Linked DNA regions of Xenopus tropicalis. The protein of the gene in region 4 interacts with the protein of the main gene of each other region in a pairwise test. Links are inferred from orthologs where the notes say so. Each region holds a gene or a part of one and is shown on either strand. Other genes may lie near its edges. The genes, in order: ubxn4, faf2, lzic, vcp, ubxn8, rnf115 and rpl9.

Region 1 (4,633 bases), on a different chromosome or scaffold from region 4:
GTATGTTTAGTAAGGACACCGTCCCTGGAGCACATAAACACTGACTATAAATACCATATCAGCACAGGAGTATTATTAGCCGCCACTTGTCAAGTGCATTGGTAGCTCTGCCTGCCGCCTCTGTCTGTCACCTAATACCCAGATTTCATCACAACAATAACCCCCCCCCCTCACCTATAACACACAGGCAGCTACAGACACCACCCACAGTACTGGGAGGGCTGTGGTTTATTTGCTCTCCCTTTGTTTAACCTTCTTATGTCTCCCAATAAGGGCAGTGAAAGCATTTTGTTGTGACAGTTTGGCAAAGAGCTGGCGAGACTGCTGGCGAGACTGCCCTACAGTGACAGGGAATGAGCAGCTTCACGGCACAAACAAGACAAACACAAAAGAAACAAGATGGAGGCCCAAGGCTCACTAGGATGTTATTTTCAAACTACGTAGCAACAACGGCAGAGAGGATGCCAATGGTGCCGCTGGCCCAACTGTGCCAACTGTGCCAGGCAGTCTAACAGAGAGACGGGCTATAATTACTGGGATAGAGCAATAATGGATTTTATTATTGCATCCAAGGGACATCTCATAAAGAGACTGTACTGTAGGGCCAGGAACTCGCAGTGACTGCACTTTGCACTCTCAGACTGAAGCCAATAAATAACTGCCTGCGAGCCCTTCAGAGATGCTCTGTCTGTCACTCTAACTGTCACCCCGTTCCTCATTACTAAATGGCTAAAGTGCTGCCCCTCTATTGGATGGGTCCCCTATACACGCAGTAATACCATCCAATAACAGCATTATTAGCGGCAGCGACCTGGGGCCCCTTTGGCAGGCAGGCACAGAGTTGCCCAGAGAAGCCCCCAGGATCCATCTCCATTCACACACAGGATGCCAGTGACAGAAACTGTGCAACCCCAATCCCACCCCCGCTACCAGCCAACAAACACAGGCTGACAGTTAGTAAAGGCAGATGCCTGACAGTTACCTGTTTCCCCCCAATCGAAAAATTACTCCTTTTTATAAGCCGACAGCTACTTGCCTGGAAATAACAGGGTTCCCCTTTACAAAAAACTGAGCATCTACCCACCCAAGCCTGGTCCTACTGCCCCCCATTACTATTGATGACACGCTCATTAACCCTATCTACTGGTCCTACTGCCCCCCATTACTATTGATGACACGCTCATTAACCCTATCTACTGGTCCTACTGCCCCCCCCATTACTATTGATGACACGCTCATTAACCCTATCTACTGGTCCTACTGCCCCCCCCATTACTATTGATGACACGCTCATTAACCCTATCTACTCGGCACGTGGTTTGGGGGGGGATCTCTCCTTCTCTCACCATATAAACCCCACTGTCAAAACCTGTAACTTTTTCTTATGCAAAATTGCCAAAATCTGTCCCTTTCTGTCACCCGTAACTGTCAGGCTGCTCGTACATTCTCCCCAAATTTCTGCCGAGGGTATCCCCCCTGTCTCTGCAGAACTCACAGACCCCCCCTTGGGGCTCTCGCATAGACCTGAACTAGGAACTGGCACTTATACTGCAGTGTCACCTATTTGTGTCTGTAAGTTATTTAGACTGTAAGCTCTACAGGCCAGGGACCTCCATCCTCCCGTCCTCGGTGGAATCATTAATACAACTGTACTTTATATTTATTTGTATTTATTCCTTTGTACCTATTATTGTAATGAACCTGTTTGTTTATGAATTCACACATACGTAGCATTATATACATGAAATATACATACATACCAACAAGCTGACAGTTACTAGGCAACCCCATGAACACTGACAATAATAATGGCCCATCATAAAGCTGACAGCTTAGTATTTGTGGCCTACAGCAGCCTCTGGGCTACAGAGAACAGTTCTAATGCCCCAATATGTTGCCTGGGTTACCCACATACTGACATTCGGCAGCGAGTCCTTGGGCTCCACTCTGGCAGGACATTGGTTATAACAGTCCCCGGGTTCCCACTATACTGACAGTTAGCTGTGCCAGTCCCTGGGCTATCTCCATGATGCCAGATGTACCAGTACATGGGCTCCCCTCTGACAGGCAGTTAGTAGCAGTACATGGGCTCCCCTCTAACAGGCAGTTAGTACCAGTACATGGGCTCCCCTCTGACAGGCAGTTAGTACCAGTACATGGGCTCCCCTCTGGCAGGCAGTTAGTACCAGTACATGGGCTCCCCTCTGGCAGGCAGTTAGTACCAGTACATGGGCTCCCCTCTGACAGGCAGTTAGTACCAGTACATGGGCTCCCCTCTGACAGGCAGTTAGTACCAGTACATGGGCTCCCCTCTGACAGGCAGTTAGTACCAGTACATGGGCTCCCCTCTGACAGGCAGTTAGTACCAGTACATGGGCTCCCCTCTGGCAGGCAGTTAGTACCAGTACATGGGCTCCCCTCTGGCAGGCAGTTAGTACCAGTACATGGGCTCCCCTCTGGCAGGCAGTTAGTACCAGTACATGGGCTCCCCTCTGACAGGCAGTTAGTACCAGTACATGGGCTCCCCTCTGGCAGGCAGTTAGTAGCAGTACATGGGCTCCCCTCTGACAGGCAGTTAGTAGCAGTACATGGGCTCCCCTCTGACAGGCAGTTAGTAGCAGTACATGGGCTCCCCTCTGACAGGCAGTTAGTAGCAGTACATGGGCTCCCCTCTGACAGGCAGTTAGTAGCAGTACATGGGCTCCCCTCTGACAGGCAGTTAGTACCAGTACATGGGCTCCCCTCTGACAGGCAGTTAGCTAAACTGACAACTATAACAATCATTGCCCCCCCCCCGATACTGGCAGCCCTTGTGCCCCTATGATGCCCATATTATGCCCCTATGATGCCCATATTATGCCCCTATGATGCCAGACAGTTGGCCGTGCCTCAGGCCCAGTTGCCCCTATGACAAGTTGCCCGATACACTGAGAGGCGGGGAATCCATTCTCCTCACCAGCCACGAACACCACAAACACGGAGTTGCGCTGCTTGGCGGCCGCTATAGCCTCCGGGATGGAGCCCTGGAACCACAGCATCGTCCGACTCCGCTGCCCGCCTCCTGTCACTGCCCTCACTGCCCTCACTGCACACACACAGACGGTGACGAAGCCGGAAAACAGGATGTGACGTAACGCCGTCCGCTCTCACGCCGCACGCAAACAATAAGCCACGCCCACGTGGGGCGGAAGTGAATACTGAGCGCAGCGCTGATGGAGTTTGTTGTCATGGAAACAACCAAGCCGCCATACGCTCTGCCCGTAATGATGTCATACGCATATGCAGTTACCTCATACACTAATTGCGCCTATAATTACCATCATTGCGTCATGTTTTATTCAGTTTTGCTGTATAGTTAATGTAGGCCATTCTCTGGGGTAATACCATTTATTTTGCCCTTCCCTCCCACCCAATCAGCAGCTTGCTGGGCTTGCCACCTGTTTAGTTATCAAGTTCAATTCATTTCTTATTGTTACAGAAATAAAGAGCAAATTTCTGAGCTTTCTGGAAAACTGGTATAACAGAGCCCATACAGTTACCCATCAGGCAGAATAAAGACAGAACTAGGGCTGCCAATCAAACTGACTGGAATTCCAGCCAATTGTAAGCGCTGCAGTAACTGCACTCTGGCATCATAACCCCGCCCCTAGCTTTGCTGCCCCACCCCTATAGCTTTGCTGCCCCGCCCCCTTTGTTCAGGTTTAGCACTGGCAAAGGTGGTGACCCCAATGTTTTCCACAGCACTGCCCTCAGGCTCAGGCCAAGAAAGTGTCCGGACTGACCAGAGCATGGGCTGAGGCAATGGTGCCGGACACATTCCTCCCTTGAAAATGGAAAGAGGGACAAAAATAAATAACGCACGGCAAAATTTTACCACGCCCCCTAAATACCACTCCCATTTGACTAAATTTGGCAGGTTATTTAAGGTCTGAACACATTTCTGGGGGGTTTGGGGTCCTGCTTCAGTGCAGGAGATGAGGGAAATGAGGGACAATTCAGTAAGAATCCGGGACTGGGAGCTGAGCTGTCAAAAGAGGGACTGTCCATATCACACCATTAAGGTTGCGCCAGATGGGCCGTACCCCAACAGATCACTGCCCGAGATGTGCAGCTAGCCCTGCTAACTTTCATATCCCCATATGCAGTCACTAAATACTCATCAAATAACTTAGCCTTCCCTACTGTGACTGCTCCTGAAACCTGCTTGCTAGGGGTCCTAGACAGTATAATTGCCCAAAATAGCGCCCAGATACGCTACAGAATACTCCTATGCAAAAAAAACAGTCGCAATGCATTGGATGGGCCCTACCCTGCCCACCATTACAGCCTGGAAGAACCTAGTGAATGCGGTTGCCCCTCTGTATAAACTCACATACGAGACTAGGGGCGCACCTGACAAATTTGACAAAGTTTGGGGCCCTTGGTGTTACCTAGAGGGAAATTGAACAATCTCGCTCCTAGTTACATAGTATAAGGCGTCCTCCCACCTTGTTCTGCCACACCCTGAACACGTAGTTCAGTAGGGTGACGGACCCAATATGCTGGAACTGCTGCCAAACATACACACTCTGTAATGTCACAACCTATCCCTTCAATGTTTGTAACAAATTTTAAAGATAAACCTGGAAAAGAA
Region 2 (3,111 bases), on a different chromosome or scaffold from region 4:
ACATAGATCTGACAGCCACAGAGGTATCAAGAGAATGATAAATGCATTTGCACATTTTGGTTTGAGTAATATACAAGCCAGCACTGGCTAACTATTTCTAATATCCAGTATATGCCCATTGTGCTAGTTATAGTAAAAAGATAGGGACATACAAACTTAACTACTGGGTTATACAGAAAGCTGCTCAGTGACAACCAGTTGGAAAGTCCTGATGAGGCATTTTAGATAAATCCCTGTAAGCATGGACCTACAGTACTCAAGTGTGAATTCTGACTACAATTTTAAATAGAATAGCCTGTCCTTCTTATCAATTTGTCAGTCCCCTGACCCAAACTGTCAAAGCTATAGTGCAGCCAGTAACTTAGGTATGCCAAATAATATGGAAAAAAGGTGGTAGCCAAACATGTTGTATAGATGCAGAAGTGGGCACTTACTGACAGGGACTGGGTGAAGAGGAACCGCCGCTCTACCCTGGTACCATTTGGCATCTTAAAAATAATTTTCACGTTATCTGGATGATCTGGAACTGGCTCGGCAGGGAGACACTCAGACTTGCGCTCTTTTTCTTCTTCCAGATTCTATTAGAGGAGATAAAATACTGGCAGTTAATAGAGAACATCACATACATAAAGAAAACAGAGCAATATATAAAATAAAATACAGCTAAACTTTAAAGAATTACTGAAAGAAGTGCCATTCACAGGATACAAACCCTGTGGGCACGGCAACTTTACCCCCAAATCTCTACACGGTCAGGGCTACAGCAGGCCCAACTAAGTGGGCAGCATTGCCATTTTACAAGGATTTTAGCCAGTAGATTTCTCTGCATGTTGGATTAAAAGTACGTAAATGAATATTAACTCAAATCTAAAGGAAAAAAAACCTTAATTGGATATTATTCCTTTAATAGTAGTTTAACAGTTGTTCTCCTGAGGTTGACTGTCCAAAGAGGTTCTTAATGCTTTGCATTTAAAATATAGTGCATTTATGTTGGATCTTGGGATGGCAATGCCAAAAAAAAAAATCAAAATGAGCTGGAAGTTCTGTTAATTTAGGCATGATATAACTTGGATCTATATCCAAGATCCAAGAGCCACATGCAGATGTAAAAGAGTGCTGGTGAGCTACACAAGCATGAAAAAAGTTCTGTGATTGGACTGTGATTGACTATTTGGCAGCCCCATGTGGAGTGATACCCTGCAAGATGCTCTGCTTTGAGTAAAACTGTGTCTATGTGCTTCCAAAACTTGCCTCCAAGCAAAAACTTAAAAATGGGCACCTACTTTGAGGCCATTGGAAGCAACATAAAAGGGGGCGGTAAGCAACATGTTGCTTGTGAGCCACTGGTTGGGGATCACTGATCTATAGCTTAAAATGTCTGAATTATAACGGATAAGGAAGTTTTCAAATGGTTCAAAATGTTCTATCCTAACAAAGCAGCAATCTTTAACCTTGGGCTCTTTAGCTGTTGCTAACTTCCAACACGGCAATCATGGTGATTCTATAAGTTGTAGTGACAACTAGCAGGCTGCAACTATAGATTGAAAGCACCTTCCTTGATCCATTTTCCTGAGTGCTGTTATAACTGTATAAGCTAGCTACTCAGGGAGTAAAATTCTTTACCCTTTTCTTCCTCTCTTCTAACATCTGTTTGAGTTGTGCCTCTTCCTCTTCTCTTCTCTTCTGCTCCTGTTTCTCTTTCTTCTTGCGTTCTTTTTCTTGGTCAGCACGCAGAGATGCCAGATACGCCTCATCTTGCTGCTGCCTCAGCACCTGAGTCTGGTTTCGCTCCTCTCTGCAAAAAGAACAATAAGTTAAAGGGGTGTGTCACCTTTAAGTTAACTTTTAGTATGTTATAGAATGGCCATAGAACTTTTTATCTGTGTTTTATTTACTATTTGCTTTCCTCTTCTGACTCTTTTCAGCTTTTGAATGGGAGTTACTGGTCGCAGCAGCCAAAAACTGTTGCTCTGTGAGGCTACAATTTCATTGTTTTGCTACTTTTATTACTTACTTTTCTATTCAGTTGCAGTCCTATTCATATTCCAGGTTCTTATTCAAACTACTACCTGGTTGCTAGGGTAATTTGGACCATAACAACCATATAGCTGCTAAAATTCTAAACTGGAAAGTTGCTGAACAAACAGATAAATAACTGAAAAAGCTAAATAAATCAAAATGAAAACCAATTGCAAATTGTTTCAGAATAGCACTCTCTACAACAGGGATCCCCAACCTTTTTTACTTGTGAGCCACACTCAGATGTAAAAAGTGTTTGTGAGCAACACAAGAATGAAAAAAGTTCTTTGGGGGCTATTTGGTAGCCCATGTGGACTGCTAGCCTACAGGCAGTTCTGCTTCTAAAACGGTCTTCCAGACCAGAAATGTAAAAATGTGCACCTGCATTGAGGCCACTGGGAGCAACATCAAGGGGAATAGTGAGCAACACAGAAACCCCTAATATATCTATTGCTGTAATCTGTTCCTTCAAAAAGTATGAATGAATGAATATGCTGAAATCCAGCTGCAAAAGTAAAACTTTTATGTAACAACTTCTCCACAGCTTACAGATAGCATGTAGGAACTACATAAAACACAATCCATTGCACTGTTCCTTTCCTTATTGAAATCACGGGTGCAAAGAGTTGTGGGGTTTGGAGTATGCAGGCTGAGGTCAACTACTGTTTTTACTTGGTTTTAACGAGGGGAAAAAAAGGGAGACACAAATGCACACACAAAACTTTTTTAGGTCTAATAGCAGGTGCAACAAAAACTGCATTTCAAATCACTAACCCCCCAAAGAAGCCCCTGGTTAAATACAGAGATATGATTCCACAAACCCAGGGTATATATGTTTTCCATTACACATGTGGCCTGTCTTTCACTCACCCCCTGCTTCTAATGTTCAGAAACTGGGGGGACAGACATTATTAAATTATGGAGCAGTCATATCTATATGAGGCAGGTGCTAGGAAAAAACAAGGCTTCGCTGCGACTCTTCCCTTACGCATGCAGTGGATTTCATATTTGAAAGAAAAAGTCTGTCATGAAAGCAGCTAAAATGGACCAAAGGGTCTGTTAATACAGCCCTTAGGTTAAATACTTTAGCAT
Region 3 (4,032 bases), on a different chromosome or scaffold from region 4:
AAATAATCTGTGACCGGCACACCCTTTAAAATCATCATTATCATCGTTTATTGTAGACATATTGTTTAAAAGAATCAGACGTTTCGGTCCTCAACAGTAATAGTAGGGCTGGCCGGGTGGTCCAAGGATAGCTACACATGCCACATCATCATAAACGCCTTTGTTTTTTGGCCCTGGGGTATACAGCGATTAAATGTAAATGTAAAAAAAAAGAAAAAGCAAATACACAAACATAAATTAACAGATAAATTATTAAATGAAATGAATACAACAATTACATCTAAGTAGCTTGATACAATAGATAAAAAGAAATATCTGCGTTTAGATTTACCTTTTCTCCAAGTTTCTGCAACGCAATCAGGATCTCCCCTTTCTGCTGTGTGTATAGATCTCTTCCTAGTTTGCCTACCATTAAATCCCGATCTAGCTAACAGGAAAACAACCAACAAAAAAGTATTAAATAAACTATTTTGCAGAAAAAACTGTACTGGTGAAATATTTTATTCTGTTACCTCTGCTAAACGTGTTCGTAGCTGCCCAGGCTGTTTTTTAGCAAACATTCTGATCACCTCGGGAGTCTTAAAGGCTTGGCTGATAGCTGCCTGTATTGCCTGTATAGGAATGGAAAAATGTAAAATATGACATAACAGTAAACACGGAATTAATAAGAAACACCAATAAATGCAAATATGTCATGGAAATGCTATTTCCACAGGTTTGGAAATACACTTGACTGAAATACGCCAGGTATTTTCGATATGTGACCAAACTCTTGCAAGATGGATTGTGCAAATACGTATTTACGTCGTTGTATGCTGTAACTTATTGACAATAAGTCCGGCTACATTTTGCTTTAAGATTGCTTTCCCGCTTGGCTCTTTTTTTTGCAAAAATGTACTAAAATTCTTCCGAGGTGTCTTCCTTCAAGGCTTTTTTTGATACGGAACGTGTACAGAGCATGTGACACTAGCATGTGACAGTACAATGGAAAGAGAAGTGGCACTGTAGCAATGACGGCACACAGATGTATTTTGTCATTACAAACGCGCAACAGCAGAATTATGGTGAATGAGAAAAATCTGAAATGTATGTTGGGAAAAAAAACTACAGGCTGAGAAACAGCCGTGTGCTGTTTTATTGCTGTAGTTATGCTTAAATCTGCGGTTTTAAAAATGCAACGTAAAGACGCCTTGTGTGACCTCGCCCTAAGAATGATCTATCACTTTAACTCCTTGCTATGACTTTTAAACAATGTTGCAAAAGCCAGTCTCCTATAGCAAGACAGGTCTGTCAATCCACTGCCTTCTGTTACATTGTTGCAAAAGCCAGAGCCATCAGGACAGAGAACAGAAAAGCACAAACACTGCTTTTAAAAGCAATAATATATACAAATAACTTGATAACACTTCAAATGTGTAATGAATGTATATTGCAAAGTTGGTTAGAATTATGTTTTGTTTTTAGGCAAAAAATTGCAGGGGGGGGGAGTTCTTAAATGGCATTTAAAAGTGGGTTATGGTTTTACATGCCGAGATACAGTTTATAGGGGGAAAACTTGCAACAAGGTGATATATGACAAATGTGAAAGATGATTACAGAGTGGCTGGGGCTAGTGAATTATAAAGCAGAAATGGGGCACTGGAATAAAAAATGCCACATGCATCTGAATTTCTTTTATTGTCATATAACAAGAATATTTTTAATCTAATATTTCCATGATAATTTTTCATGTTTAATTGGGTTGTACAGGTGCACAGTATGTATACTGTGTAATGTAATTAGACAAGAAAGGCTTTGAATTATATACTTTACATAAAAACATTTTTAAAAGCTTTCTGGGATCGTAGCAAAAATCTTCTCTCTTTCTGTGCATTCATGGCACATTAATGTAATACAAAAGCCTCTCCTCCACCACCATCCACTGTCCCTCTCAAAGCTCCCCCGTGCAGGAGCTATTCTGTTCAGAAGTCTCCTTGTGAGCTAACCAACAATAAATCTGCTGAGTTGCGTGCTGTCAGTCTTCTGATCCTCTTCTGTCATTTGTAGATACAGATCTTGCAGGAGTATGCACAGTTAATGCTGATTCAGGACATATATTCAACTGCGCATGCTACTCCAAGATCTGTGTCGTCGCTCTACCAGAAGCAGTGTCGGACTGGGAACCTAGGGGCCCCACCAGAAAACCTTAGACCCTAGGCCCACTTTCCAAACTATTTTTCTTCCTTTCCTCACTCAACCTCTTTATTTTCTTAGTCTCTTTTATTTACATGCTAGCATCTATTCTTCCATCTATTTCTCCTCTTTGTTCCCATTCAGAAATAGGGAATGACCATGAAACAGGCCAAATGGTCAAAAGGCAGGAGGGCCAACTGGGAGTTTTCCTGGTATCCTGGTGGGCCAGTTTTACACTGACCAGAAGAGGATGTGAAGAGAGTGGAAGATGGCCCATTTGAACTTTGCTGTGCAACTGTGCAAATTTATGGCAGGTCAGGACAATTAAAAGAGATGCTGCAGGGAGGGAGCTTGGAGGGGGTGGCAGTGGAGTGGGGCTAGGTTTTAATTTTCCTTTAACATTCAACATAACCCTCTATGGATGAATAACAGAGCTAGGTTTCACCTGGGATTATAATCAAAATGATACCATAGCAAAAGATAAATATAATAGTAAAAAAAAAATACTACATTTATAGAAAAAATAACCCTTCCCACAAAAACATATACAGCAGCGGAAGTCCTCATTTACCGGGAGTACTTTCTGGGTTGTTGCTTTAAAACATTTTTTTTTTTATAACTGCTTTCTATTTTTATTATACTTACTATACTTTTATTATATAACTATAAGTTCCATGCAGGATGCTGCCACTTTGCAGAGCGATTTGAAAAAAATTGGAAAACTGGGCAGCAAACTGGAAAATGAGGTTCAATGTGGAGAAGTGCAAAGTTATGCACTTTGGAAGAAATAATGTAAACGTGAACTATCTACTAAATGGTAGTTTGTTGGGAGTATCCTTAATGGAGAATGATCTACGGGTTTTTGTAGATGACAAGTTGTCTAATTTCTCAAATAAAGTTCTGTCGTGTATAAAAAAAAGGCATTGACTCAAGGGATGATAACATAATTTTGCCTCTTTATAGGTCCCTGGTAAGGCCTCACCTTGAGTATGCAGTGCAGTTTTGGGCTCCAGTCCTTAAGAAGGATATTAATGAGCTGGAGAGAGTGCAGAGATGTGCAACTAAACTGGTAAAGGGGATGGAAGATTTAAGCTATGAGGTTAGACCGTGCGCTTGCGAGGGGACAGGATTACTAATTACATAATGTACAAGTACATTAGAGGGGATTATAGGCAGATTGGGGGTGTTCTTTTTTCCCATAAAAACAATCAATGCACCAGAGGCCACCCCTTTAGATGAGAGGAATGGAGTTTCCATTTGAAGCAGCGTAGGTGGTTTTTCACGGTGAGGAGAGAGATACACAGGTAGGAGCCTGCAAAATTTGTTGTGAATTCCGTGTTTACTCCAGTGTTTACGTTTACTTCTGCCCTAATGGTAACATTGTTAATTGATAAGTTTTCGCTATTTTATTAATTATACACCTTAAAAATAGAACAAATGTGCCTTTTGTGTTGCTTTATTAAAATTTTCCCAAAACATTACCCAACCTTTCTACTTATTTCTGCCTACTTTTCAGGCTGTGTAGGAGAGCAAATGGCTCATATAAATTTGTATTGTAGAATGCCAGCTATGCAAAAGCTAGGTAGACCTGATAAAGAACTTTCAATGAGTAAAGCCAGAGCTGTAATTGATTTTTTTCAGAGAGGATCTATTAGGAACTCCAACACATATATATGTTGTAAAGGTAACAGTCCCCGATTTCAATTTGGCTAAAAAGGGATTATGTATTATTTATCGCTGTCTACATGATAAAAGTGATTTCAAGGAATATATGCAATATGCCCCCTTTAAGTGGTACCTAAAACAATTAAAAATAAATATCTCACCAGCTGCATCCCGCCCAACTCATCTATTAGAGTC
Region 4 (3,440 bases):
ATACCCCCCCCCCCCCCTTTCATTCTGCCCCTTCCTGCCCCACTGACTGTTCCTTATTGACACATATATATATATATATATATATATATATATATATATATATACACACACACACACACTCTATGGAGCAGCAGCTGCTGATGGGATTTATCTCTGCCGTTTAATACAAATCACAACCATCGTTAGTAGAATTCAGATTCTGCTGGAATTTAGGAAAAACCTTTTGTTTCAGCCCCCAAATCCAATCACGACTCGGCCACTAAAACTGCATGTAAATTTGGGTCCAGCGTTCTGATTCAGAAGATAAATCACCCCCCTCAGAATGACCCAGACATGCCGGCAAGATCACCGCAGAAATGGGTTCAGTGCATGGCGTTAACCCCACACGTGCCAGCGAGATCACCACAGAAATGGGTTCAGAGTATGGCATCAACCCCACAAGTGCTGGCCAGATCCCTGCAGAATTGGGTTCAGAGTATTGCCTTGCCCACACTTGCCTGTCTGCCTCTCTCTCTCCCCCCCCCCCCCCAGTGGAAGCTCTCACAAAGACAGTGGGGGCCCATGTTCCCCAGCAGGACAGACCCGACCCAGGTGGGTGCCCAGTAGCCACTCCTATTACACCCTACCCTGTATGGGGGGTCCGAGTGGTGCTCTGGTGCCACCTATATACCCACAGGTGAGGAGACATACAATAACCCCCCCCCCCACTCAATTACAAAGAGCAAAGAGACAGTCGCATTAGAGATCAGTCAGTTTATTGTCGAGACGCTCGAGCCTCCGTATTTCAATCCAACATGAAAAAAATGAAAGGAAAAAAACCCTCAGAGAATGTTTAATTTCTTTTATTCTGCTTTTCTCATACCCACAGGAGAGGGAGCGACCCAATCACAGCTGGAGAACCCTGCAACACCCTGGGGCCCCGCTGCCGCTCTATTAACCCTTTCACTGCCAGGGTGCCCGGCTACAAAGCTCCCCAGGCACGGTGGCAGCCAAAGGGTTAATCTTGGCATCGATTCCCCCAAACAGAACCAGAACCCAACAGAACCCACTTTGGATGAACAGTTGAAGGCAAAACAGCTGAAACTGGAGGAGTCAGAACCAGATCTGCAGGATCCTCCCCCCACAGGTGGTAAAAGGAGTCCAAAGTCACTCGGTGGGAGGGGCAGAACTTTCATTCCCCGCCCTCGACGCCGCGAGCACAGGGGCCGCTTGGGGGGGGGGGACGGGGAGGGAAAGGAGAGAAAAGTAAGAGTTGAAGGCGGAATCCTGAGAGACTTGGCTCTCCCCTTCTCACAGCCGTGTAACAAATCATAGGAGTGGGGGGGGTGCATCTACGCTGCCGGGACTGGGGAATGAAAAGCTGAGTGTCCATTAACGTAGGAATTTCTGCGCTGTACAACGAGGGGCGAGTCGGCCGACTCTTTAACCATACAGATCATCTTCTTCCTCGTTAAAATGGCTGCCGCCGCTGCCTCCGCCCGCTCCTTGGCTGGGACCGGCTCCACCTTGACCCCCGGCGGGAAATCTGACAGAGAGCAAATGCGCAGTTTATGTGGATGATACAAGCAATCGGTTGGGTGCCGTAAGGGTTAATATTGGGGATCAGGGTGCCGTAAGTGTTAATATTGGGGATCAGGGTGCCCAGCGCACCCCCCATGCCAGGGTCTGTAAGTGCAGTTACTCTGCACCAATAAGCACAGATAAAGCTTTTGTGCTGCAAAAATATTGTGTTTTGCCTTAGTGACTAGGGTGGCAACACATTATACAGCTGCCCATTGGGCAAGGTCACAGAGTGGACCCTTAGCGTCTCCGGTACCAGCCCCTGGCCCAGATTTGTATGATCAGAACCCCAAGCAATAACAGAGGCCTAAGGAGAGGTCACACTGGGAAATGACACCCACCAACGCACCAATCTGATCCCAACTCCTAACTAGAATTTTCTGTACAACTTTTGGCCATATATTGGTTAGGCTGGAGGGCCCCATACAGGGACCAATAAGCTGAAGTGAAGGGGCCACGCTGGCACTTGGCATAAGAGACGGCCCTCGCTGCTCAGCGTTACCTGAAGCTGCCGAATCCTCTGCTCTGCTGAAGGGTCTGTGCGAACATCTCGTATTTGCGAATGTCGTTATCGCTGACGGAGCGGCGGGCGAATCGCATGGCTTCTTCAAAGTGGTCTCTCCGGATTTCCGGTACAGGGTCGTCTTCTTCCACTTCCTGCAATCGGTGGGGGAAACAGAGAGAGGGGTCAGTAGAAGGCGAAACCCCCGGACCCCCAGGCTACGGGGGGCGCAGTGAGGCACAAACCCCAGAGACATCCTATAATACCCCCCATGTTCTGCCCCAATCACAGCGAGCGCCTCCTTACCATAGCCGAGGGGTTGGTCTGCCTCTCTCGCTCCCTTCGGATCTCATTCTCAATGGATTCCCTGATGGCCAGTTTGCAGGCACGCTGGCAAATCTCAGTCAGATCGGCACCGGAGAAACCATTGGTCATCTTGGCCAGGAAGTCAAGGTCCACATCCTGTTTAGAATCGCAGCAGGCGTCAGTAACTTACATGGAGCATGGGAGGTTTGGCCCCACAGAAACAGAACAATTAACTTTTTGTGCTGCACTTGGTTGCTAAAGCCTCCCACGACCATAGCAACCAGGCAGTGCTTTGAATGACAGACTGGAAGATGGATGGGTAATCTAAAGTCTCTATCATATACACACAAGGAACCAATTAAATGCCTTTTATTGGGTGTGGGGTGGGACCAATAAAGCCAGTTGGGCAATAAAAGGACATTCTGCCCCCTTCCTGGGTAATGACTTGCCTTGGCAACAGGAGACTTCCTAAGGTTGGCCTTCAGGATGGCAATGCGGGACTTCTCATCGGGCAGTGGGATGTAAATGAGCTGATCCAGACGGCCGGGACGCAAGATGGCGGGGTCGATAATATCTGGCCTGTTGGTGGCTCCAATGATGAAGACGTTCTTCTTTGTGGACATTCCATCCATCTCTGTGAGGATCTGGTTAATGACTCTGTCGGCGGCTCCACCACCATCTCCAATGTTGCCGCCTCGGGCCTTGGCAATGGAGTCCAATTCATCAAAGAAGAGGACACAAGGAGCGGCCTGCCGAGCCTGAGAGCAGAGGGGAAGAGCTGGTTGTTAGGGTGCCGTACGGGCGCCAGCGCACACGCAGTTACAGGGGGTGGGAGGGGCCTTACCTTGTCAAATATCTCTCTGACGTTGGCCTCAGACTCTCCGAACCACATGGTGAGCAGTTCTGGCCCTTTGATGGAGATGAAGTTGGCCTGGCATTCGTTGGCAATGGCCTTAGCCAGCAGAGTCTTACCGCACCCGGGGGGCCCGTAGAAAAGCACACCCTTCGATGGGGTCATTCCGAACTTCAGGAACTTGTCTGGATGCTCCACAGGATACTGAGCAGGGACAAA
Region 5 (4,032 bases), about 120 Mb from region 4:
CATCTGCTTTACATAATAAGGTGCTGAGAGGCGAGGGAGCTCTTGCTGCTTGTTGCACCTACACATGCAACTGACTCTCATTTGGGCTTATCTGTAGTATAATGATGTACAGTGTAAGATCTTGGAATCAGTATTAAAGGAGAAGAAAAGGCACAATGACAAGAGGGGAACCAAAATGTTAGGCACCCCACTCTTCCTGTTCTTGGATTCTCTCTGTGGTCCCAGGCCAGGACATCACGCGCAGTAGAGCAAAAAGACAACCCAGCTTTTCACTCTATGGCCCATAGAGGATCCAGGAAGAATGTAGCTTAGAAAACAAGCTTCTGTAGCATCATGCTTTAAATTACCCATCAGCCTCTAAATAATTGACTGCTAGAGCAAGTTAAAAAATGCTGAAGCTTTTAGTTACTTAAGCACATCTCTTACAAAGAATTTTTGGCCAAAAAATATAAAAATAAATGTCCATATCTCTGTGAAATTGTACACAGACATGATATAAAATGTATAATACTGACACCTAGGGGTGCATTTACTAAAGTTCAATTTTTCTTTTTCACGGTTCGTAATTTTTTGCACAAAAAACTATTTTTTCACCATTCATATGCAACAAAATTGTGACAAATCAGAAAGAAAAAAATACGCCATCTAAAAGCTGTCAAGGTCATGTGAAGTCGATGGCAGGTGTCTTTTTTTTACAACCGGGAGATCTTTCTTCGTAGTTTAAATTTTTTTCCACATTTGTGCTTTATCAATTCAAATTGTGGAAATGAGTTTAGTCAAGGTTTCAAAATACTCTAATACCATGAAAATCCAAATGTTTGTAAATCTGCCCCCTAGTATAAAAATGGTGATGCTGTTGGTCAGGAATGATCATCAGATTCAGTCGGCCCACTCAACATATTAAGAATCTTTTTTTTCAACATTCAAAACCATGTCCTTTAAAATCCCAATATCCTCTAATGATGAACCATTCTTGAGTTCTAACTGGCATCTTGGAAATGTGGAGTAGATGGTATAAATAACTGGATGGTAACCTAGTTTCTTCATCCAATCCAACAAAACCTAAAATCAGAAGTAGTGTGTTAAATTGGGTTCCCGTGAAGAGATTAGAAGTTACAAAGAATAGTTCTGGACCCTCCCCACTTCCAAAGGAGAAGGAGGTATGTTCAAAGGCCATTATAGTTCTTTCATACATAATCTAGCTCTAGATATCATAACGTATACAGACATACGGACGTATTTTCCCCCATAGTAAAGTACAAAGAACCAGAGGCCACCCCTTTAGACTTCAGAAACAGAACTTTAATTTGAATCTGTGTAGGTGATTCTTCACAATGAGGGCAGTGAGGGTGCAGAATGCCCTTCCAAGTGATGTTGTGATTCTATTAATACTTTTAAAGGAGAACTAAACCCTAACAATGAATATGGCTAGAAATGCCATATTTTATATACAGGTATCGGACCCCTTATCCGGAAACCCGTTATCCAGAAAGCTCCGAATTACGGAAAGCCCGTCTCCCATAGACTCCATTATAAGCAAATAATTCAGAATTTTAAAACTGATTTCCTTTTTTTATGTAGAAACAAAACAGAACCTTGTAATTGATCCCAACTAAGATATAAATAATCCTTCTTGGATGCAAAACAATCCTATTGGGTTTAATTAATGTTTTATTAATTTTTTAGTAAACTTAAGGTATGGAGATCCAAATTATGGAAAGACCCCTTATCCGGAATACCCTTGGTCCCGAGCATTCTGGATAATGGGTCCTATACCTGTACTAATCTGACTTCACTAGCCAAGAGTTTCAGCATCTCTATAGTAGTAATGATGTAGGTCTTTACAGTTGTCACAGAAGCTTCCTATCTTGGATTCTGTTAGAACTGTCTGGGACAGTGCACATGCTCAGTGTGCTCTGAGCATCTGTTAAGAAGCTGAGCTTAGGGGTCATTGCAAATTATCAATCTGAAAATGAGGCTGGCCTGTCATATAAACTGAGGCTACTGATTATTAAATTCGGATGCTAACTGCACTGGTTTCAGAGCTGCCATGTTATCTGAATCCAAATGAATTACTAATCAGCCTTATATTGTTACATTTGTATTCTATATATACAGTATATTGTACATCGCTCCCTAAGCTCAGTAACTGATAGTAGCACAGAGCATATGCAGGGAATCAGTAGAGAAAAAGATGGGGAGCTACTGGGGGCATCTTTGGAGGCACAGATCTTCACTGGTAAAGGCTGTGGTTGCCTTGGGCTGGTACAGAAGCCCAAAACATAGGGGCACATTTACTAATCCACGAACGTCCGAAAAGCGTCTGAATGCGTTTTTTTCGTAATGATCGGTATTTTGCTATTTTTCCTAAATTGGCGTGACTTTTTCGTAGCCGTTGCGACTTTTTCATAAATTGTCGCGACTTTTTCGTAGCGTCCGCGCTACGAATTGTCACGACTTTTTTGTAGCTGTCGCGCTGAGTACGAAAGTTTCGGATTCATTCAAGCTTCAGTATGGTGACTTTCCTTGGGCCAGGTTGGAGCTGCAGAGTGCCACTGAGTCCTATGGGAGGCTTCCAAAATCATGCAAAGTCTGAAAGTTTTGCCCGCCGCTTACAAGCGCTCAATACGAAAAAGTCGCAACAATATACGAGCAAATCGTAACGGCTACGAAAAAGTCGCGACAATTCGCGCAAGTCGTAACGGCTATGAAAAAGTTGCAACAATTTACGAAAAAGTTGTAACGGCGACGAAAAAAATCGCAAAAAATACGAAAAAGTCGCAAAATGTTAGTTTCCAATCCGAATTTTTCCCATTCGGATTCATGGATTAGTAAATGTGCCCCATAATGTACAACATTTTTAGCCTACTTCTTTAGTTAAGCTTTAGTTCTCCTTTAAGCAAAATATCCAAGGCTACTGTGATCTACAATTAATTTAGAATATTAGGTGTGTATGTTTAATTAGGTATGCATAAATGGAAGGGTCAAACTTGATGGGACTTTTTTCAACCCAAAGTAACTATGTAACATACCTCTTGAATCGGGGCATACATTATTGTATTTCAAAAGCCTAGGTGAATGTTCGTTTTATACACTATAATAAAAGTAATAACAATGTATACTGCTGCTGTATATTAATGCACATGGTCCTGCACATGAGTCTCAGGACCAAGATAAATGGTATATTATGTAGCTGCTCCTTCAGGAGCACACAAGAAGATGGACTCCAATAACCAACACTGAGGATTTGGACTATTTTTTTCCAGATATTTTCCAGCTGTTTCCAGATGCATTTGAGCACTGTCTAGAACATTACAAGTAAAGGAAAGTAAATATAGCTCCCACTACTTACTTCTGAAGTGCAGGATGTGTAAAATCTTCTTTTAAAAACACGCCCGCTTGGACATCTTAGGACAATGGTAATTACCTGGGGAGAAGAAAATGGTGGCGCTAATAAAATTAACAATACTGTTATATTAGTGCTGGGCAAGTTTTCCTTTGGCCCATACCAGTTAAGACAGTTTAGTGATAATAAGAATACCAAACATTATGTAAACCTCACACCCATATAGGGGCAAACACAGGATTTTCACAGCAGGGATTAACCCATTACCTGTTCATAGTCTCTGTACAATTTTACCAAATATATAACTATATCAAACTCTAGATATTCTGGTGCAGCAAGCATGCAGTGCAAGAGCTAGTGCAAGTAGAGAGAGGTAGAACTGATTAATATTATACTTTAATCAGTACATTCTACGCTGCAGGGCATCCCCCCAACTTTATGCATAATAATAAGAGCTGCCAAGAAAAAGATGGGTGAATTAAAAACAAACCTTGTCAAAATACTAAGAAGGTTAGAGCTAGGTACTATTTACATTGAAAGTTTCAGCACACAAAACAGTGTTTGTTAGAAACACTGCAGCACATAAAAGTAGTCTTTTATGTTCCTTTGCTTTGAGGGAAGTCTTGTATTGAAGTAACAGGAAGAGTCACTGGGGAAACAGACACAGAGATTCTCAGTGGTTATAA
Region 6 (4,032 bases), on a different chromosome or scaffold from region 4:
TCCCATGGTCAGGCAGGAACCCCCCCCTGGGTAAGTGAATCCAATCTCTCTCCCCCAGTACTTACCCAGGTACAGAGCTCTGATTCTCTGTACTTCCTGCTCCTGGGCTGCTCTCTTTCCCATGGTCAGGCAGGAACCCCCCCCTGGGTAAGTGAATCCAATCTCCCCCCAGTACTTACCCAGGTACAGAGCTCTGATTCTCTGTACTTCCTGCTCCTGGGCTGCTCTCTTTCCCATGGTCAGGCAGGAACCCCCCCCTGGGTAAGTGAATCCAATCTCCCCCCAGTACTTACCCAGGTACAGAGCTCTGATTCTCTGTACTTCCTGCTCCTGGGCTGCTCTCTTTCCCATGGTCAGGCAGGAACCCCCCCTGGGTAATTTTATCCAACCTCTCTGTACTTTCTTTGCCTGGGCATAACCACGGTCAGACATGATTCATCAGAACTCTATACCTGTGAGAATACACCAAGGGGGATGTTCCCGCCTGACCTTGGGAAAGAGAGCAGCCAAGTTGCACCACTGGTTCCAATTGAAAATAAGCCCATGTTTAAAGGGGCAGTTCACCTTTACATTAACTAGTATGTTGTAGAATTCCTAGCAAATCTGCAATTGATCTTCTTCGATTCTTTATAGTTTCTGAATTATTTGCCTTCCTCTTCTATACCTTTTTAGTTTTCAAATGGGGGTCACTGACCCCAGCAGCAAAAAAAAAAAACCTTTATGTTCTGTGAGGCTACAATTTAATTATTATTGTTATCAGCTTTCTGTTCAGCTCCCTCTCCTATTCATATCCAATCTCCTATTCGAACCACTGCCTGGTTGCTTAGGTAAACGAAACCCTAGCAACCAGACAGCTGCTGAAATCCCAAACTGGAGAGCTGCTGAACCGTGAAGAGAGGGAGGGGGGGGCCCTTACCAGTTCAAGCCAAGGCACGATGCAGTCTCCGTGGAAGAAATGGTTGCAGGGTAACTGCCTTACTTGTTCTTCTATGGCGTAATCCTCTTTGCACACTGGGCACTCCAGGCCCATTGCTTGGAAAAGAGAAGGAGACGCACGGTAAATACAGGGAGTAATAATTGTACAAATAGCCTCACTAAGAACCTCCCACTGAGTGAGCCAATCCCATTTCTCTCAGAACAAACTCAATTCTATATACTTCCTGCTCTTGGGCTGCTCTCTTCCCCATTGGCCATGGGAGAAAAGCAGCCCAAATACAAAAAAAACTCAGCTCTCTGCCTGGGTTAGTAGGGGGCAGGTCTGATTTACAGCCATATGGAAAGGCTTGGGAACATACAAGAGAAAGAGACCTACCCACTTGCTCCCGGGTTACAGTGACAGTCGGGAGGGACACAATCTTGTCTTTGTCGGCCGGGGGAGGACCGGTGTTTTCCAGCTGCCCCAGTAGCTGAAGGAAAAACAGAGGCTTTAAGTTGAAGCCCAAAATCCCATGGCAGGGTCAGTAAGGGGGGCATTTATTAAAACACACTAACACTTTGCATTAAGGTAGAATAGAGAGCCATCGTACTGCACCGAGACCCCCACATCCTTACCTGTGTGACGATGGAGTCCAACCCGCTCTGGCCCCACGCGTAGTCCCCCGGATTCGAATGCAGCATCCCACTCCTACAAACAATAGCAAATGTGGTTACACTACTAACATGGCCCGTACAGTTTGGGCCTAGGGGGGACTGACCCATAAACACGTCGGTGCCATTAGTACAGTTTGGGCCTAGGGGGGACTGACCCATAAACACGTGGGTGCCATTAGTACAGTTTGGGCCTAGGGGGGACTGACCCATAAACACGTCTGTGCCATTAGTACAGTTTGGGCCTAGGGGGGACTGACCCATAAACACGTCACTGCCATTAGTACAGTTTGGGCCTAGGGGGGACTGACCCATAAACACGTCACTGCCATTAGTACAGTTTGGGCCTAGGGGGGACTGACCCATAAACACGTCGGTGCCATTAGTACAGTTTGGGCCTAGGGGGGACTGACCCATAAACACGTCGGTGCCATTAGTACAGTTTGGGCCTAGGGGGGACTGACCCATAAACACGTCGGTACCATTAGTACAGTTTGGGCCTAGGGGGGACTGACCCATAAACACGTCACTGCCATTAGTACAGTTTGGGCCTAGGGGGGACTGACCCATAAACACGTCGGTGCCATTAGTACAGTTTGGGCCTAGGGGGGACTGACCCATAAACACGTCACTGCCATTAGTACAGTTTGGGCCTAGGGGGGACTGACCCATAAACACGTCGGTGCCATTAGTACAGTTTGGGCCTAGGGGGGACTGACCCATAAACACGTCACTGCCATTAGTACAGTTTGGGCCTAGGGGGGACTGACCCATAAACACGTCGGTGCCATTAGTACAGTTTGGGCCTAGGGGGGACTGACCCATAAACACGTCACTGCCATTAGTACAGTTTGGGCCTAGGGGGGGACTGACCCATAAACACGTCGGTACCATTAGTACAGTTTGGGCCTAGGGGGGACTGACCCATAAACACGTCGGTACCATTAGTACAGTTTGGGCCTAGGGGGGACCGACCCATAAACACGTCGGTACCATTAGTACAGTTTGGGCCTAGGGGGGACTGACCCATAAACACGTCGGTACCATTAGTACAGTTTGGGCCTAGGGGGGACTGACCCATAAACACGTCGGTACCATTAGTACAGTTTGGGCCTAGGGGGACTGACCCATAAACACGTCTGTACCATTAGTACAGTTTGGGCCTAGGGGGGGGACTGACCCATAAACCCGTCGGTACCATTAGTACAGTTTGGGCCTAGGGGGGACTGACTCATAAACACGTCGGTACCATTAGTACAGTTTGGGCCTAGGGGGGACTGACCCATAACACGTCGGTTGCCATTAGTACAGTTTGGGCCTAGGGGGGACTGACCCATAAACACGTCGGTACCATTAGTACAGTTTGGGCCCAGGGGGGACTGACCCATAAACACGTCACTGCCATTAGTACAGTTTGGGCCTAGGGGGGACTGACCCATAAACACGTCACTGCCATTAGTACAGTTTGGGCCTAGGGGGGACTGACCCATAAACACGTCTGTGCCATTGGTACAGTTTGGGCCTAGGGGGGACTGACCCATAAACACGTCGGTGCCATTGGTACAGTTTGGGCCTAGGGGGGACTGACCCATAAACACGTCGGTACCATTAGTACAGTTTGGGCCTAGGGGGGACTGACCCATAAACACGTCGGAACCATCAGTACAGTTTGGGCCTAGGGGGGACTGACCCATAAACACGTCGGTGCCATTAGTACAGTTTGGGCCTAGGGGGGACTGACCCATAAACACGTCACTGCCATTAGTACAGTTTGGGCCTAGGGGGACTGACCCATAAACACGTCGGTGCCATTAGTACAGTTTGGGCCTAGGGGGGACTGACCCATAAACACGTCACTGCCATTAGTACAGTTTGGGCCTAGGGGGGACTGACCCATAAACACGTCGGTGCCATTAGTACAGTTTGGGCCTAGGGGGGGACTGACCCATAAACACGTCGGTGCCATTAGTACAGTTTGGGCCTAGGGGGGACTGACCCATAAACACGTCGGTGCCATTAGTACAGTTTGGGCCTAGGGGGGACTGACCCATAAACATGTCGGTGCCATTGGTACAGTTTGGGCCTAGGGCGTCACTGCTAGTGGTAATCTGACCCCAGGTTTAAAGGGAAAGCAAACCCAGTGTGCCCATTGCAGATCTGTATGAAGCCGGGGTGGTACCGTATCTATTACACGGTATCAGCGGGAGGAGTAATGGGAGACAATCTCCATCTGGGCCCATTGAGTGTACAGAGCAGCTGGGAGCCGTAGCAATACCTTATCCCAACGTATTAATGACAGGCAGTGGGACGGTAACCCTGACGCACCTGTTCCCATCCTTACCTGCGCAACTACAGAAATACACCAGGAATAGGGGGGCCCCCCATCCATAAACTTACCAAGAGAGGGGATGTGGTGACCCCGGAAAGGGCGGGTTTGCGAATACT
Region 7 (4,824 bases), about 180 Mb from region 4:
TAAGAGCACACACATCACATCCAGTAACATAAGGGAATAGGGTTTAAATAAGCCTTGTTCACATCTTTTTTTTTGTACTTCAATGTCTGTAAGTGCAATTTATTAATAGATTGTTTACATTGACTTTACACGGTGGGAACGGGCCCCTCTGTTTTCTTGCCAATGACAGGATGTTTTGTATCTCATAATTAATCTGCTACAGCAGGCAACAAAACATTCCTTGTTTCCTCTCCACAGGCTAACATGCAAAATGGTGCTGGGCAAACCTACATAACACAAAGTTGCCCAGAAGTTCTCGCAAGGAAACAAGGGACATTGTCGTCTGCTGTAGCAGAGATCAACTGCAGGTGACAATGTCCCATCTGTCATTGCCCTAAAGCCCAACTAGATAATGACTTATGCAGCAGATGGCCCAAGTGGAGCTTGCCATCATGAGAACTTATCAGGAATGGTAGAATTAATAACTACTGTAGCAGGGGGTGGTTTAACAAGCAGATAGAAGCAGGAAGTGACATGGATTTCATGTGAGCCAACAATTGGTTAGGATCTAATGGATTAGCCTTCTCAAGTTATGGTATAAGTCAATCAAGAGCATTTTATTACCTTAACTCCAAAACAAAAAAGAAAGCTTGTGCAATGGACATTTATTGGAAGACTACTTTAAAACATTACCAATCCATTGAGCCAAAACACACCACTTTAATGAAGATCTTATGCATTAAGTGTATGTTGGTCACAGAGACTTGACAAACCACAGCTTCCACTTTACCCACAAAAATACAACCAGGTGTGAATGTTCAAGGCTATGAAAAAATATGACCAAAGGTACTCCATAATATATTACCCATAAAAAGCTTCTGAAAATGTATGCACTTACGGAAAGTTAACGATTAATCCCTTTTGCATGTTTAATGCTTTAAAAACGTCAAGGCTATTGCCCAAAATAGTCTATAAGAGAATCTCAAACCAATAAAAGAAACAAAAGTCAGAAGTTTAGATAAAGGGACTTTATTTTTGGAACAGTACAGGAACCAGACTTTTGCAGGCTGTAAAGAAGGAAAAAAATATATACGTCACTACAAATTTGTTCAAAGCCCATTACCAACGCTATGCATTCTATCATACTAAGGCTTATGCTACATGTGGCAGATTCTTGGCCTGTGGATAAACGCAGGCTGAAACAACCACTTGTTCCACAAGCCTAACAAGGACACAGCAGCACGAAGGGTACCTGCTGGAAAACTTCATTTTATCCTTCTGCTAATAATTAAAAACAACTTTGCATCCAGAACACCCAATAGCCTGGTATAGATAGGTTATTCATTTATTCTAAAGGCAGTGAAAAAACTGGCATAAGTCACACCAGCCTCATGTATAGAAAGCAGAAAGGTCAATGCGTTATTGGAAATGTAATTTAAGCAGTGGTTTTTGCCTATTAGGATATTGGTTGGGTTTTTATTGTTTGATATTTCTTGCACCTCCAATAAGAAGTCATATGTATAATGAACTGGTCCTTATCACACAGCCTAACAAAGGCTTTAGCTGGAGGAAGCGAGGGGTTTGTTGTAATATACAGAGGGTTCCACAGTGGACTGACATGGTTTTGACTGTACTCTTAAGCTAGGGTGACCAGATCACTTGAAAATTATGGGCACGTCTAGAAAATCCAGTTAGCAGGGCTGAACTGATTGCAGTTTATTTTATATGCAATTTGTGCTGCCCAACAATGTTACAAGTGTCCCTGAATTTTCAAGTGATCTGGTTACCTTATCCTAAGCACCAAAAGTACAGTGAGACTCAAGTTCAGATTTTGCAGTTTAGTTCAAGAAACAAACCATATATTAACCCTAATTAAAACAGGCAAAGTATATGTTTAGCACAAGGTCTATTCATTTAACCAATGCTAGAAATTAGTATTCAGCCTTTTTTTAAAGGATTTAAACTATTTTCCCTAAAAACTATTGGGCAAGGATTATCCAATTATCTGCAGTAGATTTAACATTTTTTGATCCAAGGCTCCCTCTCGTGGTAAAATAGATCAGTTTTTACACTTTTTATACAAGACAAGAAACAGTGAGGGGCAACTTCCAAGTTCTGTCCCACCCCCTTGCAGATCCAGTTGATTATCCTATTAGTGAAGCATACAAGCCACTGAGAAAATGGAGCCTTGACTTCCTCTACCTTGTTTCAAAGAATCAACACCAGGAGTACAGAAAGGGACAGAATTACTGCTTTCAACTGCAGTTGCATTCACATGTAACATATATGTTTTGTGTTTCTATATTAAAATCAGTTTAATAAGTTTTAGGTGGTATTTTTGATGGTAGCTCTACTAAAAGGTATTTTAAGTACTTACAAGCAAACGCACACTAGAATACACTTTATAAAATAACTTAGTCTATAAAATATGAGCAGGCAAGATACCAGGTGGTGAGAAACCCTGGTGTTTTGGAACTAAGGGTACTGGTATGTATACTGCAATATGCTTACACTATACTTACTATGTGATTGTACATTATTGTCTATAATGAAGATTTTTGTAATGTACAACATTGTCCTAAACTGATTTCTTTACATAAGGGGAGCACTGGTGTATCTATTTTAATTCCCGTTTTAAGCAGCGGACATATTCCTACACAAGAGAACATCATTTAGTAAAATCCAGTACAACTGGCCATAATTTTGGGCAAAACAACCCTGGAGTGTCCAAATACAAACCTTTTATTCTTCAACCTGCTGTACTGTACCCTTTTCGGATACGTAGATACCATCCAAGAATTTTCTGATATCCTTATTCTTTACTGTGGTGGCTTGCTGGATCAAGGCAGCTTTAAAAATAAAAAAATATAGGTATAAATAACATAAGACAAATCCATCTATAATGGCTACATATGATTTTACTTGTTAAAACCTCACACTGATTTTGATCTACACATTAATGACTAAAGTTAGTCAGATTTCAATAAGGGATGATAATTTAACATGCCAATTTTGCACAATTATTAAACAGAAATGTAAAAATTTAAGAAACTGGATTTTAGATTATTCCATGTGTTTCTGCAGAGCTAAAGTGATTAACCAAGGTTAAAGCTTTAAGACTATTCAAGACTAACCCAACCTGCTGCACATCTAGGTCTGGCAGCCAGTCATTATTGGGAACACCAAATGTGTTTATTAACATACCAGAGTTTGATACAAGTTCAATGTCATTGCCTTCAAGAATCAGCTCATCTTTCTGGGCTTGGGATAAGGCGCATGCAACACCTAGAATAGAAGAGTACAGACAACAATAAAATTAGTGGATTTCTACAAGTGTGCTTTTTTTCATTAATGCAAGCATCATACCACCATGTATATTAAAAGGGAATTAAAACCTGAATACATATTCATTCTAAACAAAATATGTAATATTTAATCACCACCATGTAAATAAGGTGGAATGTTAAGACAAATAATGTGCTGAGCCCCAAAGACATAGAATGGGAAGCCTTAAAATTGTTATTATGAAACACTGTAAAGCATGTAAGGGTGTTTACCTTAAACCTTTCACTGGCTGCGTCTTATAAAAACCATCTCAGAACATATTTTTAGAGCTTATCTGGTTAATATTGCTGACTTAATATATGTGGGACAAAAAACAAAAAAAATGCAAACTAAGTTGTCCTTTTAACACCAATTTATTAGAGGATGCCAATTAGACAACTGCATGACTAATTGCTAGGCTGGGACCATGACCGCCAACCTGCCATGTTTGGTATCCCCACACTGTCTCCGGCAGGTGATTTTAGTATTTGTTTTGTCATCCTGCATTTGTGCCTGCCCAGGGCACAAGTGATCAGAGGGAAAAATCAAAGAAGCTGGAGCTCTAATGGAAAATTCCCTGAGCCAGTCCCTTTTGCTACAGAAGTGCAGATCTGTAGTCCCGTGTTAACAACTACCCAACATAATGGCGACCTACATGAAACTGGCTATCACCCATTAAAGATTGTGGGATCGCAGAAATTCTAAACATTTCAAAATGAAATAATGGGTGACTGCATTTCTTAACAGTAGTGGCACATCTAGGGAGTGTGGGCACTGCAGTAATTCTTGTCTAAAAAGTATGCCATTCTTGCTTGAAAATGACTATGAATGACACACAAAGGCTGGCATTTTTAAAATCATTTGATTTGAATTATTGAGTAATTAGAGCCTGTGTGCCACTGCCCTTAGAACTGGGAATAACTTGCAGAAAATATATATTTATGTGAAGGGGATGGGGGGGTGTTTGGGGTGGGGGTGGGTGGGTTATACTTATGTGAAGGGGATGGGGTTGTGTTTGGGGGGGGTGGGGTGGGGGGTTATATTTATGTGAAGGGGATGGGGGGGTGTTTGGGGTGGGGTGGGGTGGGGGGGTGTGTGCGGATGGGGGGGTGCGTGCGGATGGGGGGTGGGGGGGTTGCGTGCGGATGGGGGGGTGGGGGGGTGGCGGGGGGGGTGCGGGTGGCGGGAGTTTGGGGTGGTCACCTAATCATGCATGGGGAAAAAAAAATACCGTCAAATACTGTGATACCGATATAATTTTGAAAAATACCGTGATATAAATTTTTGGTCATACCGCCCAGCACTACTTTAAACAGTAACGTATTTCATTGTGGTTTTTATGAGTTTTTTGCGGTATGTAACCATCACGATTTTCCTAGAGATACAGCCCAGACTATCCTATCTGGTGACTTAATATGGGGGGGCAGCTAGGCTTCCAGTTTTTCTGTGTAGGTCAGCTAAGAATAAAAGGCCAGACTGAGCATGGCAATAGCAACTGTCAGCTGGGTACACAGAGCTTTG

What was found.
Region 1: the proteins of vcp (region 4) and ubxn4 interact in binary tests that used the Homo sapiens proteins (3 or more experiments, as listed by UniProt). The link is inferred for Xenopus tropicalis from reciprocal best matches to the Homo sapiens genes VCP and UBXN4.
Region 2: the proteins of vcp (region 4) and faf2 interact in binary tests that used the Homo sapiens proteins (3 or more experiments, as listed by UniProt). The link is inferred for Xenopus tropicalis from reciprocal best matches to the Homo sapiens genes VCP and FAF2.
Region 3: the proteins of vcp (region 4) and lzic interact in binary tests that used the Homo sapiens proteins (3 or more experiments, as listed by UniProt). The link is inferred for Xenopus tropicalis from reciprocal best matches to the Homo sapiens genes VCP and LZIC.
Region 5: the proteins of vcp (region 4) and ubxn8 interact in binary tests that used the Homo sapiens proteins (3 or more experiments, as listed by UniProt). The link is inferred for Xenopus tropicalis from reciprocal best matches to the Homo sapiens genes VCP and UBXN8.
Region 6: the proteins of vcp (region 4) and rnf115 interact in binary tests that used the Homo sapiens proteins (3 or more experiments, as listed by UniProt). The link is inferred for Xenopus tropicalis from reciprocal best matches to the Homo sapiens genes VCP and RNF115.
Region 7: the proteins of vcp (region 4) and rpl9 interact in binary tests that used the Homo sapiens proteins (3 or more experiments, as listed by UniProt). The two-hybrid records come from large-scale screens. The link is inferred for Xenopus tropicalis from reciprocal best matches to the Homo sapiens genes VCP and RPL9.

Annotation. Positions count from the first base shown.
Region 1 is NC_030685.2:84,077,813-84,082,445, forward strand, and holds the start of ubxn4 (UBX domain-containing protein 4), read right to left. Parts: upstream 3,139-4,633; 5' UTR 3,039-3,138; coding exon 2,957-3,038; intron 1-2,956. UniProt on the Homo sapiens protein: Involved in endoplasmic reticulum-associated protein degradation (ERAD). Acts as a platform to recruit both UBQLN1 and VCP to the ER during ERAD.
Region 2 is NC_030679.2:47,538,435-47,541,545, forward strand, and holds part of faf2 (FAS-associated factor 2), read right to left. Parts: intron 1,796-3,111; coding exon 1,624-1,795; intron 579-1,623; coding exon 435-578; intron 1-434. UniProt on the Homo sapiens protein: Plays an important role in endoplasmic reticulum-associated degradation (ERAD) that mediates ubiquitin-dependent degradation of misfolded endoplasmic reticulum proteins.
Region 3 is NC_030683.2:63,536,813-63,540,844, forward strand, and holds part of lzic (protein LZIC), read right to left. Parts: coding exon 3,999-4,032; intron 612-3,998; coding exon 513-611; intron 428-512; coding exon 332-427; intron 174-331; coding exon of another isoform or gene 132-173; exon of another isoform or gene 25-131; intron 1-24.
Region 4 is NC_030677.2:212,815,438-212,818,877, forward strand, and holds the end of vcp (transitional endoplasmic reticulum ATPase), read right to left. Parts: intron 3,426-3,440; coding exon 3,213-3,425; intron 3,127-3,212; coding exon 2,818-3,126; intron 2,525-2,817; coding exon 2,369-2,524; intron 2,218-2,368; coding exon 2,063-2,217; intron 1,526-2,062; coding exon 1,423-1,525; 3' UTR 739-1,422; downstream 1-738. UniProt on the Homo sapiens protein: Necessary for the fragmentation of Golgi stacks during mitosis and for their reassembly after mitosis. Involved in the formation of the transitional endoplasmic reticulum (tER).
Region 5 is NC_030677.2:97,456,210-97,460,241, reverse strand, and holds part of ubxn8 (UBX domain-containing protein 8), read right to left. Parts: intron 3,428-4,032; coding exon 3,353-3,427; exon of another isoform or gene 3,351-3,352; intron 1,063-3,350; coding exon 901-1,062; 3' UTR 1-900. UniProt on the Homo sapiens protein: Involved in endoplasmic reticulum-associated degradation (ERAD) for misfolded lumenal proteins, possibly by tethering VCP to the endoplasmic reticulum membrane. May play a role in reproduction.
Region 6 is NC_030684.2:141,763,061-141,767,092, forward strand, and holds part of rnf115 (E3 ubiquitin-protein ligase RNF115), read right to left. Parts: coding exon 3,985-4,032; intron 1,625-3,984; coding exon 1,552-1,624; intron 1,407-1,551; coding exon 1,313-1,406; intron 1,033-1,312; coding exon 917-1,032; intron 1-916. UniProt on the Homo sapiens protein: E3 ubiquitin-protein ligase that catalyzes the 'Lys-48'- and/or 'Lys-63'-linked polyubiquitination of various substrates and thereby plays a role in a number of signaling pathways including autophagy, innate immunity, cell proliferation and cell death.
Region 7 is NC_030677.2:36,143,188-36,148,011, forward strand, and holds the end of rpl9 (60S ribosomal protein L9), read right to left. Parts: intron 3,265-4,824; coding exon 3,184-3,264; intron 2,829-3,183; coding exon 2,722-2,828; 3' UTR 2,719-2,721; intron 1,047-2,718; 3' UTR 993-1,046; downstream 1-992.